Coturnix japonica: one gene and its partners. The protein of the gene in region 1 interacts with the protein of each later gene in a biochemical or structural test. Links are inferred from orthologs where the notes say so. Each region holds a gene or a part of one and is shown in the gene's direction. Other genes may lie near its edges.

Region 1 (4,363 bases):
TGTGGGCCGTAGGTCCCGTCAGTTATTTTCTTCTGCATTACATCAAGGCTTTCTGAAACCAAAAAACACAGGCCACCCTGACCTTAAAGTTAAGCAGCTCAGTGATGTTATCTGGAAGCATTTTTGTTAGATATCTATTCTTGGGTGTATAAATGGAGGTAGCGCTGCCTGTTTATTTCGCTGACCTAGTGTGGCAGACTGCCTGTGTTTCCATTTGTACTCCTCAGCAGTGTGCTAAGGAAGCCCATCTTTTGTCAGCCCTTTCTTAATCGCATTGTGTTTGCTGCTTTCCTCGGCCCTGCGTTTTAATGGAGGCTAATCCCAGCATATCTGCGTAGCTGAGCACCCGGCTTTTATCCTTCCAGCACACATTTCCTCCTCAATCCTCACCTCTTCTTAATCACCCTGTGTATGTGGGAGCAGCTCTGAGCTGTGGATGTGCTGGGAGATGGCAGCTAGCCTAGCATGTGAGAATCAAATGCTGCTTTCTGTCTTTTGCACCTCTAAGCTACTGAGTCATCGTTTCATTCTCTATGCATATATATGCATAATGCACACATAATGCAGTGAAGTTATTATCCTTGTGGAGACACAGGCTGGCGGTGTCCTTTTAATTCACACTTCTGTGCCTGTGTGCAGCAGCAGCCCACGGTGCTTAACGTCAAGCACCTGTCTTGATCCAGTATGGAAATTCCCAAACCCATCCATCACTTGCTTCTGCATTACCTAGAGGTAAGTTAGGGATGAATCAGGAATGGTAATTTGCTTATTATTCTTTTTTTTTCTCCAGCCATTCAGTTCTCTTTAATCATTAACCAGCCCCTTTTTCTTTTTCTTGGAGAAAGGAGGCTGGATACAATAGGCACGCTCAGATAAATAGGGATGGGAACAGTGCAGGAACGCCTGAGGTTCTTAATAACCAGCTTCCTTTGCAGCTAAAGATCTGTTCAGCAGTCAGATTTGGGGAGAAAAGCCTATTTTGGCCTGGCAAGGAATGGGGAACTACTGCCCAAATCTGGCCTTAGCACAATGAAATCCATGTGGTGTGCTTAGTGTGAGCTGGCCTGTATACTGGGGGGCTCTGTCGCTGCCTTCCTCCATCCCTAGATAGAGGGGTTAAGTTACTTACTGTCTGCTCTTAGCTGCTGGGGACTACCAGAGAAAGCCAATTAGGTCAATTAATCTTTAGCTAAGGTTTCTTGAGGTTTTTGTGAGGGTACCATTGAACTCATTGATGCTGCGAGGAGTGTTTGCCTGCATTTTATTGGGAGGAACTTTGCAGAGCTTTGGAATGCTGCAAAGTGAATTTGGATTGTGAGGGATATGAGTGGGTGGAGGGGAGCGGGAGGCAGTGTAACAGCAGAAGGGTTTGTCAGAGGTGTCAGGAAAGGAGAACAGCAATGGATGTATTATATATATTGTATATATATGTAACAAGTAAACAAGCAAGGCATTTCAAATGCAGAGGCTGAACTTGGATAAAGCACAGAGGGAGGCCCAGCTGGATCTGTGCAACAAAGATAGGAGGGAGAGGTAATGGTCTGAAGCAGCTGAATGCCATGATCAAGGAGAAAGCGTGGGGGGGAATGGGAAAACAGTCTGGGATGCCGGTAATTGGAACTGCTGCTGAGAGGCTGGTTTGCTTGTTGTTCGAAAGTGCACTTGACATAATAATGAGAGGAATGGATGCATGCTGCAAAACGCACTGAGCAATAGCAAAGCTGTCTCTTCTTTCACTCTTAGTATGAGCAAAGTGAGGTGGTGATAACTCCCAAATGCCAATGTACCAGAGGAGCTGGAAATGGATGTGTTGGCTCTCCCAGGCTCCCTCCAACAGCCAGCGGTGCTCACTGATTATTCACAGCTGTCAGCGCTCTGATTCTTCACTTGGTGTGTTGGTGGTTGTGAATATTTTGTTTTGACTTCCTTTCTGATTGGTCTCTTAATCCTGCTTGCCTGCTAGCTTGCAGGCCATCTAAAGCTACTGAAGTCCTCAGGATAGCTGTGTGTGTTCAGGTGTCAGTGCTGGACACCCCTATTCAATATGTAGGCAAAAGAATGGAGAAGTTTGGCTACATTGTATGAGTGCAATTATTTGCAGCAGAAAACTGACCAAACTCAAGTGGCAGTGGACAAATGGGATAACTTTCTTCGCTTTGAGCCTGTGAAATGAGGATAATATTTCTCTACCGTGCCAGGCAGTCATGAGGTTCAGTTAATAAATATGTACATGTGGTTGGACGTCGCTGTGGCATGTCATAAAAAGCATATAAAAATAGGTATAAGCCTGTTTCAAGCTGGCGTTTGTTTATTTCTGAGCAGACTTTGGTTTGAGACTGGTTCTTTTCACACTCTCATCTGGAGCTCTGGGCAGCATTGGTTTTGCCTGTGTGATTGGTGTGAAGTGTTGAGCATTGCTGACAGCTAGTGATGGATGAGTTGATGCCGATCTTCTTTTTGGCTTCTCCTGCTGCAGGTGTACCAGTACTCGACCAGGGGAGACCGGAATGGATGTGACCAGCCGATGCACACTGGGAGATCCTAACAAGCTGCCGGAAGGGGTGCCGCAGCCTGCTCGTATGCCTTACATCTCCGACAAGCACCCTCGACAGACTCTGGAAGTCATCAATCTTCTTCGGAAGCACCGGGAGTTGTGTGATGTGGTGCTGGTGGTAGGTGCGAAGAAGATCTACGCCCACAGGGTGATCCTGTCCGCCTGCAGCCCGTACTTCCGAGCCATGTTCACTGGGGAGCTGGCAGAGAGTCGACAGACAGAAGTGGTGATCAGAGATATCGATGAAAGGGCCATGGAGCTGCTCATTGACTTTGCCTACACCTCTCAGATCACTGTGGAAGAGGGAAATGTCCAGACCTTGTTGCCAGCTGCTTGCCTTCTCCAGCTGGCTGAGATACAGGAGGCCTGCTGTGAGTTCCTTAAGAGACAGTTGGACCCTTCCAATTGCTTGGGCATCCGAGCTTTTGCTGACACTCACTCGTGCCGTGAACTGCTGAGGATTGCTGACAAGTTCACCCAGCATAACTTCCAGGAGGTAAGAGGCCCCTCTGCTGAGGAGTTTAGAGAGCCGTGGTCTACTCCTACTTCGTGATTCTTTCCAAACCCTGCCCTCAGTTCTGCTGATAGAAAAGGACATCGGCCTCAGCTGGGGGAAGAGCGCCCTTACACGGCTGTGTTCTTCACTGTTGTTCTGTATATCATAAATACAGTCTGTAGCATTTCTTCTCTTGGAGTTCTGTGTTGAATACTGCATGGAAGGCAGGGCCACAGACACTGCTACTGATGCAGCTGCACTGTGGTGTACTGCAATATAGTGTTTGGGATTTACATGATTGGAGGGAGAAGAGAGTCTTAAAGTGAGGGTAATATATGAGAAATAAAAATGTGCTGAGTGTAGGGATTGGGAGCATGAGGGAACTGGGAAAGCATATGGCTGTATCAAGTGAAGTCTTCAATTCTCTTGCTATACAGCAGCACGAGGGTTTTGCATTTATTATTCAGCAGAAGCTGGACAGCTCGATGTGAAAGGAATTCACGTGGTATTTTGTGGCTGACCTTCATAAACTCAAGTCTCTTTTTGCTTTTCAAAGTCTCCATAGGAAAATGTTTTGGGGTGCCAGCTACCAGTTCAGGGAAGGATCAGCATAATAAAGGATTACCTAAGCAATACCCAGAGAAGAGTGAGTCTTTACTTCATTCTTACACCCAGATGCAGAAGAGAGCCTGACATTTTTAAGTGGTATCTTTCCTGAGCCCTAGTTGGAAGGGTAAGAATTCACATGTGTTGGAAGCAGTTGCTCTCTAGGGGTGCTCTCAGCATGAAGGTGTGTTCCCCTAGCAGGGGGATTTCTCTTGCCCTTTCCAGAAGCTGCTCTTCTATCCACTGGGACAGGCAGCTTGGTGCAGAGAGACCCTTTCTTCCCACCTGTGAAGTCCTTTCCGAAGGCAGTGGTGACTCCAGGATGGAGTACTGATGCTAATTCAGTTCCCCCAGAGAAGTGGTGGTGTGTGATTGATTGCAGCTTGCACACACTTGTTTTCCCTGCAGGAAGCAGATTGGGATTGTATTAATTTCAGTCAGGTAGTACTTGAGAAAATTATGAGGAGAAGCAAACACAATTGAACATGACTGTTGGACACCTTGAAGACAATACTTGATATCTGATTGTAGACACATAACACCAGCTTACTCTAGAAGTTGAAATTAAATATGACTTCCCTGGCCATGAAGGCAGAATTTGCTATTTGAAAGCTTGTGGTTTTTTTTCCTCTAGAACTCAGTGGTTTCCCAAAAGCTCCACAATCAAAGCCCTGTGTTGAGCTGTCCATGTGATGTGCTGTGTGCTT
Region 2 (3,650 bases), on another chromosome or scaffold:
AGGATGTGGATGGAAGGGAATTAAGTAGATACATAAAAAGCTTTCAGATTATTCTATGATTTTTCTGAATGTTTGGGGGCTCCCCTACTCTCCAACTGAAAAAGTGTCAGGGGTTGTGAATTTGTTCTTGCTTGGCTTAGTTATAAATGCTGTGCTTACGGTCTTAAGCAATATAGGCTCCCTATTAAATAAAGTTTTGGTAAATTGGTCTGATCCTGAGGTTGCTTCCTTTTAATAATGAGAAGAAAGGGGATTCACTTGATTATATGTGTACAGCACCAGTGTGACTGGTCTCTTCCATTTCTGAATAACCTGGGCATGATGAATTCAAAGTGTCTTTGCTTTGTGTGCCTTCATTGTAGGACCGTGTCTACGTACAACAAAATAACGTGGAGAACGTCTACAACTTGGGTTTGATTATTTTTCGAGATCAAGTTGTACGTTATGGCTGTATTAGAGATCACTTACGGCAAACTCTGCTGGATATGATTGCAAGAGAAAGGAAAGGAGAGGTTGTAGACAGGTAAGATGTTTGTAAGTGACTGTCTGCTGTTGCAAATGACACTTAGCAATCCTTGAGTGAATCACAAATGTGCACAGCTAAATCATTACTTAAGCGAAAGTTTCTTCATAACATGGAAAAAACCCCACATTTTTACTTTTTAGCAAACTTAAAATAATGGTAAATGGATACACTCATTAATACATTTCTAATGCTAATCTTGAGATGTTTATTGAAGTTTTTGTTAAGTCTCTCCGTTACCACCTTCTGTCATAGCATTCTATTATAAAGCAGAGGTTTGACAGTTCTCTGCCCCTTGTTGTCGTCCTGCTTGTCCTCTGTACTGAGAGGCTGCTTAACTTTCCTCTACCTGCTTTATTTGATTTTTGAAGTTATCTTTTAGTCTTCCATTTCCATTCCTAATGTTTTAACCCAGTTCAGTTATCTCTCGGCTTTAAAATCTGTTCTTCATGTTCTCTTGCCATATTTGTGGAAGTGGTTTGACAGCATGAGCTTCAGATGCTGCATGTGAAGTAACTCGAAGTTTGCAAGTTTTTTTGCGTTTCTCCAGTTTCAGAACAGCTGTTGGGTGTGGAGATATGTAAACTTCATGCTACTTTGGCTGCAGTTCTGTAATTGGGATTGCCCAACATACAGTTTATGAAGAGAAAAATACATGTTGGCAACAGCTGTATATTGTCCCCTGCTGCCAGAAATGAAATTTTTTCATAGATACAGTTCTTTTGTTTTTGAATGTTATCAGCATGTTTATGCCTAAACAGATGCTTAAATTGCAGGTGTGTTTTCATACTCTGCATGGCACCATCCATCTGTGCAACTGTCTTGTTTACTACTAACCTACACATGCAGTTTTCAGTGTTCCTTGTTTATTTTCCGGTGTGGAGAAATATATTCCTGTTAATAGTTTTCAGAATTGGTAGAACTTGAGATCTGCTTTCCTATTTAAAATATTATGTGTTGTCAGCTCCTTAGTTTTAAACAGTGATAGTCTTACTGCCATCTGGAAAACCTCTGGTGCAACAAACAGATGTAGGACAGACTTTTTATTAGTACATTTTAAGTTAAAAATTGTTATTTTGCTATACGTACTCCCTGTGTTATGTTGATTTCTGAAGTTGTTAACAACTTACTTTTGGCAGAGGCGCAATAAGAAATGCTTGCCAGATGTTAATGATTCTAGGTCTTGAAGGAAGGTCAGTCTATGAAGAAGACTTTGAGGCTCCATTTTTGGAGATGTCTGCAGAATTTTTTCAGGTACAGCAGTCTTGTAATTACCCTATTTGGAATTCTCTTGTAATTGCATGGAATCATAAGAGTTAGTGGTACCTTAAGTAACTACTGTTTATTCGACGAGTAATGTCAATCTTTGTTAAATGAAATAAGAAGTGTGACTAACTTTGAGGAAAAAGAAACACTTATTTCACATAATTAACATAATTTAACTGTGAGCATTGTCATTCTTAAGAATAATGAGAAAACCATTGATGCATATAATTCGTAAATATGACATAGACTGGTATTTGAAAAGAGATTTTACTTTTTGCTTCTCCCGTCTTTATTTTCGTTGGACCTGTAGCTCTAACTCCTGTTGGTCACTGGATATTAGGCTGATTGTGCTCACTTTAGCATGGAGAATACCACACTTATATTCATGTACCCTCAAACCTACATAGCACAATGAGTGTAGTAGAACTTTTATTGTGTTAAGCATATATGTAACTCTTGGAGGTCTTGCTTGTTGGATGTGCCGGAGTGATTTAACTTGTTAATGAATGCTGATCTGAAATAACCAGTATATTTCATTTTTTCCTCCTTAAAATACAAGAAGTCTAAAGTATTAATTTGTGTTAATCACAGATGGAAAGTCAGAAATTTTTAGCTGAAAACAGTGCTTCTGTATATATAAAGAAAGTAGAAGCTAGAATTAATGAAGAAATAGAACGGGTGATGCACTGTCTGGATAAATCAACAGAAGAGCCAATTGTGAAAGTTGTTGAGAGGGAGCTTATTTCCAAGCATATGAAAACTATAGTGGAAATGGAGAACTCTGGGCTAGTTCATATGCTGAAAAATGGGAAGACAGAAGGTAAGACTATATCATATGGGAGACAGAAATGCTTACCATACTGCTTGTTGTTTTTAAACATAGGATAAACTGAGCTTAACTTTTGTGTTCCTGTTTGGCTTTCTTTTGCACACCTCTGCAAATGGTACTTCAGAGGATTTAGAGAGCTTTTAGGACACTGATTGTATATAGAACTTGTTTCTGTTTAGTGCCAAATAATGACTTGGTTTTTTGTAAGCTAAGCATTTCTTAAGAATAAATATTCACCTTTTGTGCTGTGCTTGATTACCTGCTCTCTGTGAGCCATTTTATTGCTTTTGTGCCTACAGTGTATAGCTTTTAAAATGCATCACTGTTTTGTGGGGTTTTTCTCAGGGGGTGGTGCAGTATAAAAGTGATAGAGTAAATGACATGGAATTGCATGATTGATTTTTTTGGGGAAAAAGGATTTACTGCAGGAAAAAAGTGTTAATTTTAAAGGATGAAAAATATTTTCTAAGTGACTGAAAAAGAAGGATTTGGTTTGGTAAGGTTTTCTATAGTGTAGGTTACTGTGAGACAGCAACTGAATGCACATTTTTATAGAAGGAGAACCTACACTTCTGAAACAGTGTAATGAAGAGTGATTGTAGTACCTATTTTTAGAAATCAGGCTTCATACTAAAACATCGAGAATGGGAACAGACTTACTGTTTGGATAAATGGCTTTTGTTCCTTGAAGTAGCTTCATAATTAGGTGGTAGTCAGAGTGATAAAGTGAGCAAATTTCTTAGCTGTAAGAAAAGAGCATTTCTGTATGGAAAGATGATACTATACTTAACCTTTTTTCATTAATATCCAATTAAGATAGGCTTCAGGGTGAGAGGACAAGGATATTGAAGGGCATTTACAACATACAAGAATTAATATAACATTTATAGGCATTGGTTTAATATAGCTGTGAAGTTTTTTACATAAGAGGTGTACAAGGCTTCCTCTTCAAAAGCCATCTTTAAGCTAAGTCAGTTCTCCTGATTTTAGGTATATGAAACAAAGTAGTGAGAATTTATGCAGTTATTCCTT
Region 3 (3,650 bases), on another chromosome or scaffold:
TCTGTCTCTGAAGTTGCAGATCACTGAACAGATTGCTTGACTTTTTCATCCCTAACCTCTGTTAGTAAATACTAGTGTGATTTACAGTGCTGGGCTTGTTTTTTCAGTTAGTCACGCTCCCACTTCCCGGGGAAGTCTTCACTAGAGAATGTGTGTTTACATTTCATTCATTCCAATGCAAAGCCTGCTGGCTTAATAAAAATTTGCTTTCTACTTGTTGATCTGTTCTGACAGATATTGTGCATCACCCTGCTTCCAGCTCAGCCCTTCCCTTTTGCCTCCCCCAAAATATATATATATATATTTAATTCTGGAGGCAAGGAAATACATAAAATTACTGGAAAATGATTGTGACTTCAAAAAATACTTGGACTTTTATTTTTCCCTCACATCTTGGCTCTGTTGTGTTTTCAGGATGGTCATATAGCCCTGCACCTTGCTGTAAGAAGATGTCAGATGGAAGTAGTTAAAACCCTCATCAATCAAGGATGTTTTGTTGATTTCCAAGACAGACATGGCAACACTCCCCTGCACGTGGCCTGCAAAGATGGAAATGTCCCTATTGTAATGGCACTTTGTGAAGCAGGTTGTAACTTGGATGTTGCTAATAAGGTAAATGGCATATGGCACTGAACTGCTTTAAGAGGTCACCTATTGCATTAGATGATCTTCTCTACTTTGCTAGTCAGAAAATTATTTTTCCCTCATTTTTATATTTTAAAGTGGTCAGATGTAAAGCATTTGATGACTCATGCTGCAAACTTACCTTTTTCAGTTTAGTTCACAGATTAAAAATCCATGAAGTAGGAGCCGAAGTGAATTAATTACCACAGTGTACTCTGCTACTCAGCTCTAGTGTTGAAATCTGTGCCAGCCATCTTCCCTAGCCTGAATAGACATTTGTTTGATGTACTTTAATAATACTAAATTGCTTCAAAATTAAAGACTGATACATTTTTATTAAAAATCTTTAAATTCAGTACAGGTCTGCACTGTCATCTGAACAAGTGATAGAAAACAAGTGTGGATTCTGCTGCTGGTTATAAAAATGTTATATTAGCTGGTTTATGTTTTTCTTGAGTTCATTTATTAAAATATTAAAATAAATAATGACAAAACAATTGTACATGAATTCTCAGAATTAAAATGTTAAAAGTAAAACTATTTTCAAAAATTGTAGTTAGATGACTGAGGGAGGAGCTTTGGGGAAATTGTCCTATTGGTGATTCTTTCACTTACAAGTGACAATTATGGAAGTAATAAACGTTAAAAGATGTTGAATGTGATACCTCTTCATGGATTACTACCAGGTAAATATGTGAAATGCCAACTGATTGTAGTAATGGGCACTTTGCAAAGAGAAAGTTTCATTGCCTATCTCTGAATTTGGAGATAGTGCTAGTGCTTTCTTGGCTTCTTTTCTTGTGCTATTGCTGCAGGGTATGGGATAACTAAATGAGGTGCTATCCAGGTTTAACATTCTTGCTTTCCTCCGATGTATCTTTAGGTGAAAAATAAGTAAGCTGTTTGAGAAAATTTTCCTAAACTGGATTTGAATAAGTTTAAAGTCTGCTAATAGACTGCTGACATGCTGTATTTAGTTTTGAAGTCTTCTCTACTCTGTTGAATTTTTGTGCTTTTTTTGTGTGTGAATTTAAAAGTCTTTTTTTTTTTTTGAGACATCTTTATGTCATTAATTGTTAATTTATATTGTTAATTTATATATGATTCAGATATTGTAATTCAGTTTTTCTGAAAATATGCATATTCCAACAGAATATTATACTAATATTTCCACTTAGTATGAAAACTGACATTCTCTAAGTAAGCCAGCAAATTAAAGTTGTAGGTCTTCTTGCTTGAAGGTTGTCCAGTGAAATCTCTTGGCTTTAATAATTAAAATAATCAGCTGCAAAGTCAAGAATCTTACAGTAATGAGCTCTCTGATCTTGCCTCTGAGCTTAAATATGATGACTAAGCAGAGAATCTAAATTTAATTGCCGAGAACACATTTTGGGAAAGTGAGATAATTCAGCAAAAGGCTGGATTAGTACCTCTTTTCGTAACTGAGAATGCTCAGTTGGTTTCAGTAGCCTGGCCCCAAGCATACCATAGGGAAATAAACAGCCTTCAAGTGGTCAGTAGATGTGGGATCATAGCGCAGGAGCTGCAGTTAAAGTTTATGTCCTGCTAGTCTTTTAGGAGTCAAGTATACTGGAGTGGTTTTTAAGAACACACTTTATCTGAAAGATTGAGTAAAAATCTTATGAAATAAAGACATTTATTTCTACTTGTGCTTTTCAGCAGTGAGACCCATGATATGAGTAAATAAACTAAGGACCATCTGTCCTTGGTCCTCAAATCTGGCATTGTCCTGTGCATATCCAGTACCAGTTGAGGGCGCTGCTAGTTTCTTTCAAAGTCCATGCGCAGCAGAACATCATAAACATTTATTTGAGTTCGAGGAGTAAGCAGCTTTTCAGTTTATAGGTGCGTAAACTTAGCTTTGCTTTCAGGTACTCTTTTTGAAGTAAGCAAATGAATTTGGTTTGGAATGTAGGGTTAAAACAGGGAGAACAGTATTGAGAATATGAAGTAACAAGAGGAGATGATGAGAGGATTTACAAGTAATGCAAGGATTTGCAGTATACAGTAGAGTTATTTATGTTTTTAGCTATGAACGTAAAAAACCAGAAATGATTGATATTTTCATATCTGTCATCAGAAGAAATATTCCTAACCTTTTTTTTTGCTCTTTTCTCCAAATACTTTCATCACTTTCCTTTTGTCACTACAATCATAGATCCCTTCATGCACACTCCTTATGTTCATCTATTATTCCTTGCTAGGAGAACACTACAGAAACGTTATCTTCAGTAATGCTTGGTTTGAAATAAATTGAATCTACAGCTTTAAAGACTAGGGACTTTTTCTTAAAATTTTCATACTACCTTTGCGGTGTATCAGTACTTAATAATAAAACATATAATATGATTGTTAATCATAAACATTGGAATGATATTGTTTGTCTAATATGATCCTTTATTTTCTCCATGATAGTATGGAAGAACACCTTTGCATCTTGCTGCAAACAATGGCATTCTTGAAGTTGTCAGGTTCCTTTGTCTTACTGGTGCCAATGTGGAAGCTTTAACCTCAGTAAGTATTAAGACGATGCTTCATGCATGTTTTATATACAATAGTAGAAAATAAGTTAATCTCAAGGGAGAGAAGTGGTTAAATACAATTACATTTTGAAATGAAAAAGTAGTAGGGAGTAGAACATCTACAACTTGAAAATAATTGTTGTCAACTTGTGCCCTTCTTACAGCTGAATTTGAAACTAGGTACAGTGAAGCTACCACTTCATCTGTGGAGTTTATTGACTTAAAATTAGTTAGAAATACAGATAACATAATGTTATAATAGGCCACTGTTGTTAAGATAGGTAATCTCATACCTTGTACAGTTGCTGTACGGATGCTTAATGTGTATCCTGTTCAGTTTTTTGTTTTTTTGGAGAAGTTTAAAAGCTCTGTTTTCATGTCATAAATGTGTGGATACATGGAAGAGTTTAACTAGAGTGCAGGTATCTGTATAGAAACAAATGATTTATATCAGATTAATCAGTACTATTACTTGCAATTCAC

What was found.
Region 2: the proteins of KLHL20 (region 1) and CUL3 form a complex in vitro, tested with the Homo sapiens proteins (2 studies listed by BioGRID and IntAct). The link is inferred for Coturnix japonica from reciprocal best matches to the Homo sapiens genes KLHL20 and CUL3.
Region 3: the proteins of KLHL20 (region 1) and DAPK1 are reported together in a solved structure, tested with the Homo sapiens proteins (2 studies listed by BioGRID and IntAct, with this or other methods). The link is inferred for Coturnix japonica from reciprocal best matches to the Homo sapiens genes KLHL20 and DAPK1.

The regions. Positions count from the first base shown.
Region 1 is NC_029523.1:6,135,237-6,139,599, reverse strand, and holds the start of KLHL20 (kelch-like protein 20), read left to right. Parts: upstream 1-1,444; 5' UTR 1,445-1,459; coding exon 1,460-1,533; intron 1,534-2,476; coding exon 2,477-3,050; intron 3,051-4,363. UniProt on the Homo sapiens protein: Substrate-specific adapter of a BCR (BTB-CUL3-RBX1) E3 ubiquitin-protein ligase complex involved in interferon response and anterograde Golgi to endosome transport.
Region 2 is NC_029524.1:6,977,873-6,981,522, reverse strand, and holds part of CUL3 (cullin-3), read left to right. Parts: intron 1-362; coding exon 363-523; intron 524-1,662; coding exon 1,663-1,777; intron 1,778-2,380; coding exon 2,381-2,609; intron 2,610-3,650. UniProt on the Homo sapiens protein: Core component of multiple cullin-RING-based BCR (BTB-CUL3-RBX1) E3 ubiquitin-protein ligase complexes which mediate the ubiquitination and subsequent proteasomal degradation of target proteins.
Region 3 is NC_029547.1:37,546,116-37,549,765, forward strand, and holds part of DAPK1 (death-associated protein kinase 1), read left to right. Parts: intron 1-414; coding exon 415-612; intron 613-3,060; coding exon 3,061-3,159; intron 3,160-3,650. UniProt on the Homo sapiens protein: Calcium/calmodulin-dependent serine/threonine kinase involved in multiple cellular signaling pathways that trigger cell survival, apoptosis, and autophagy.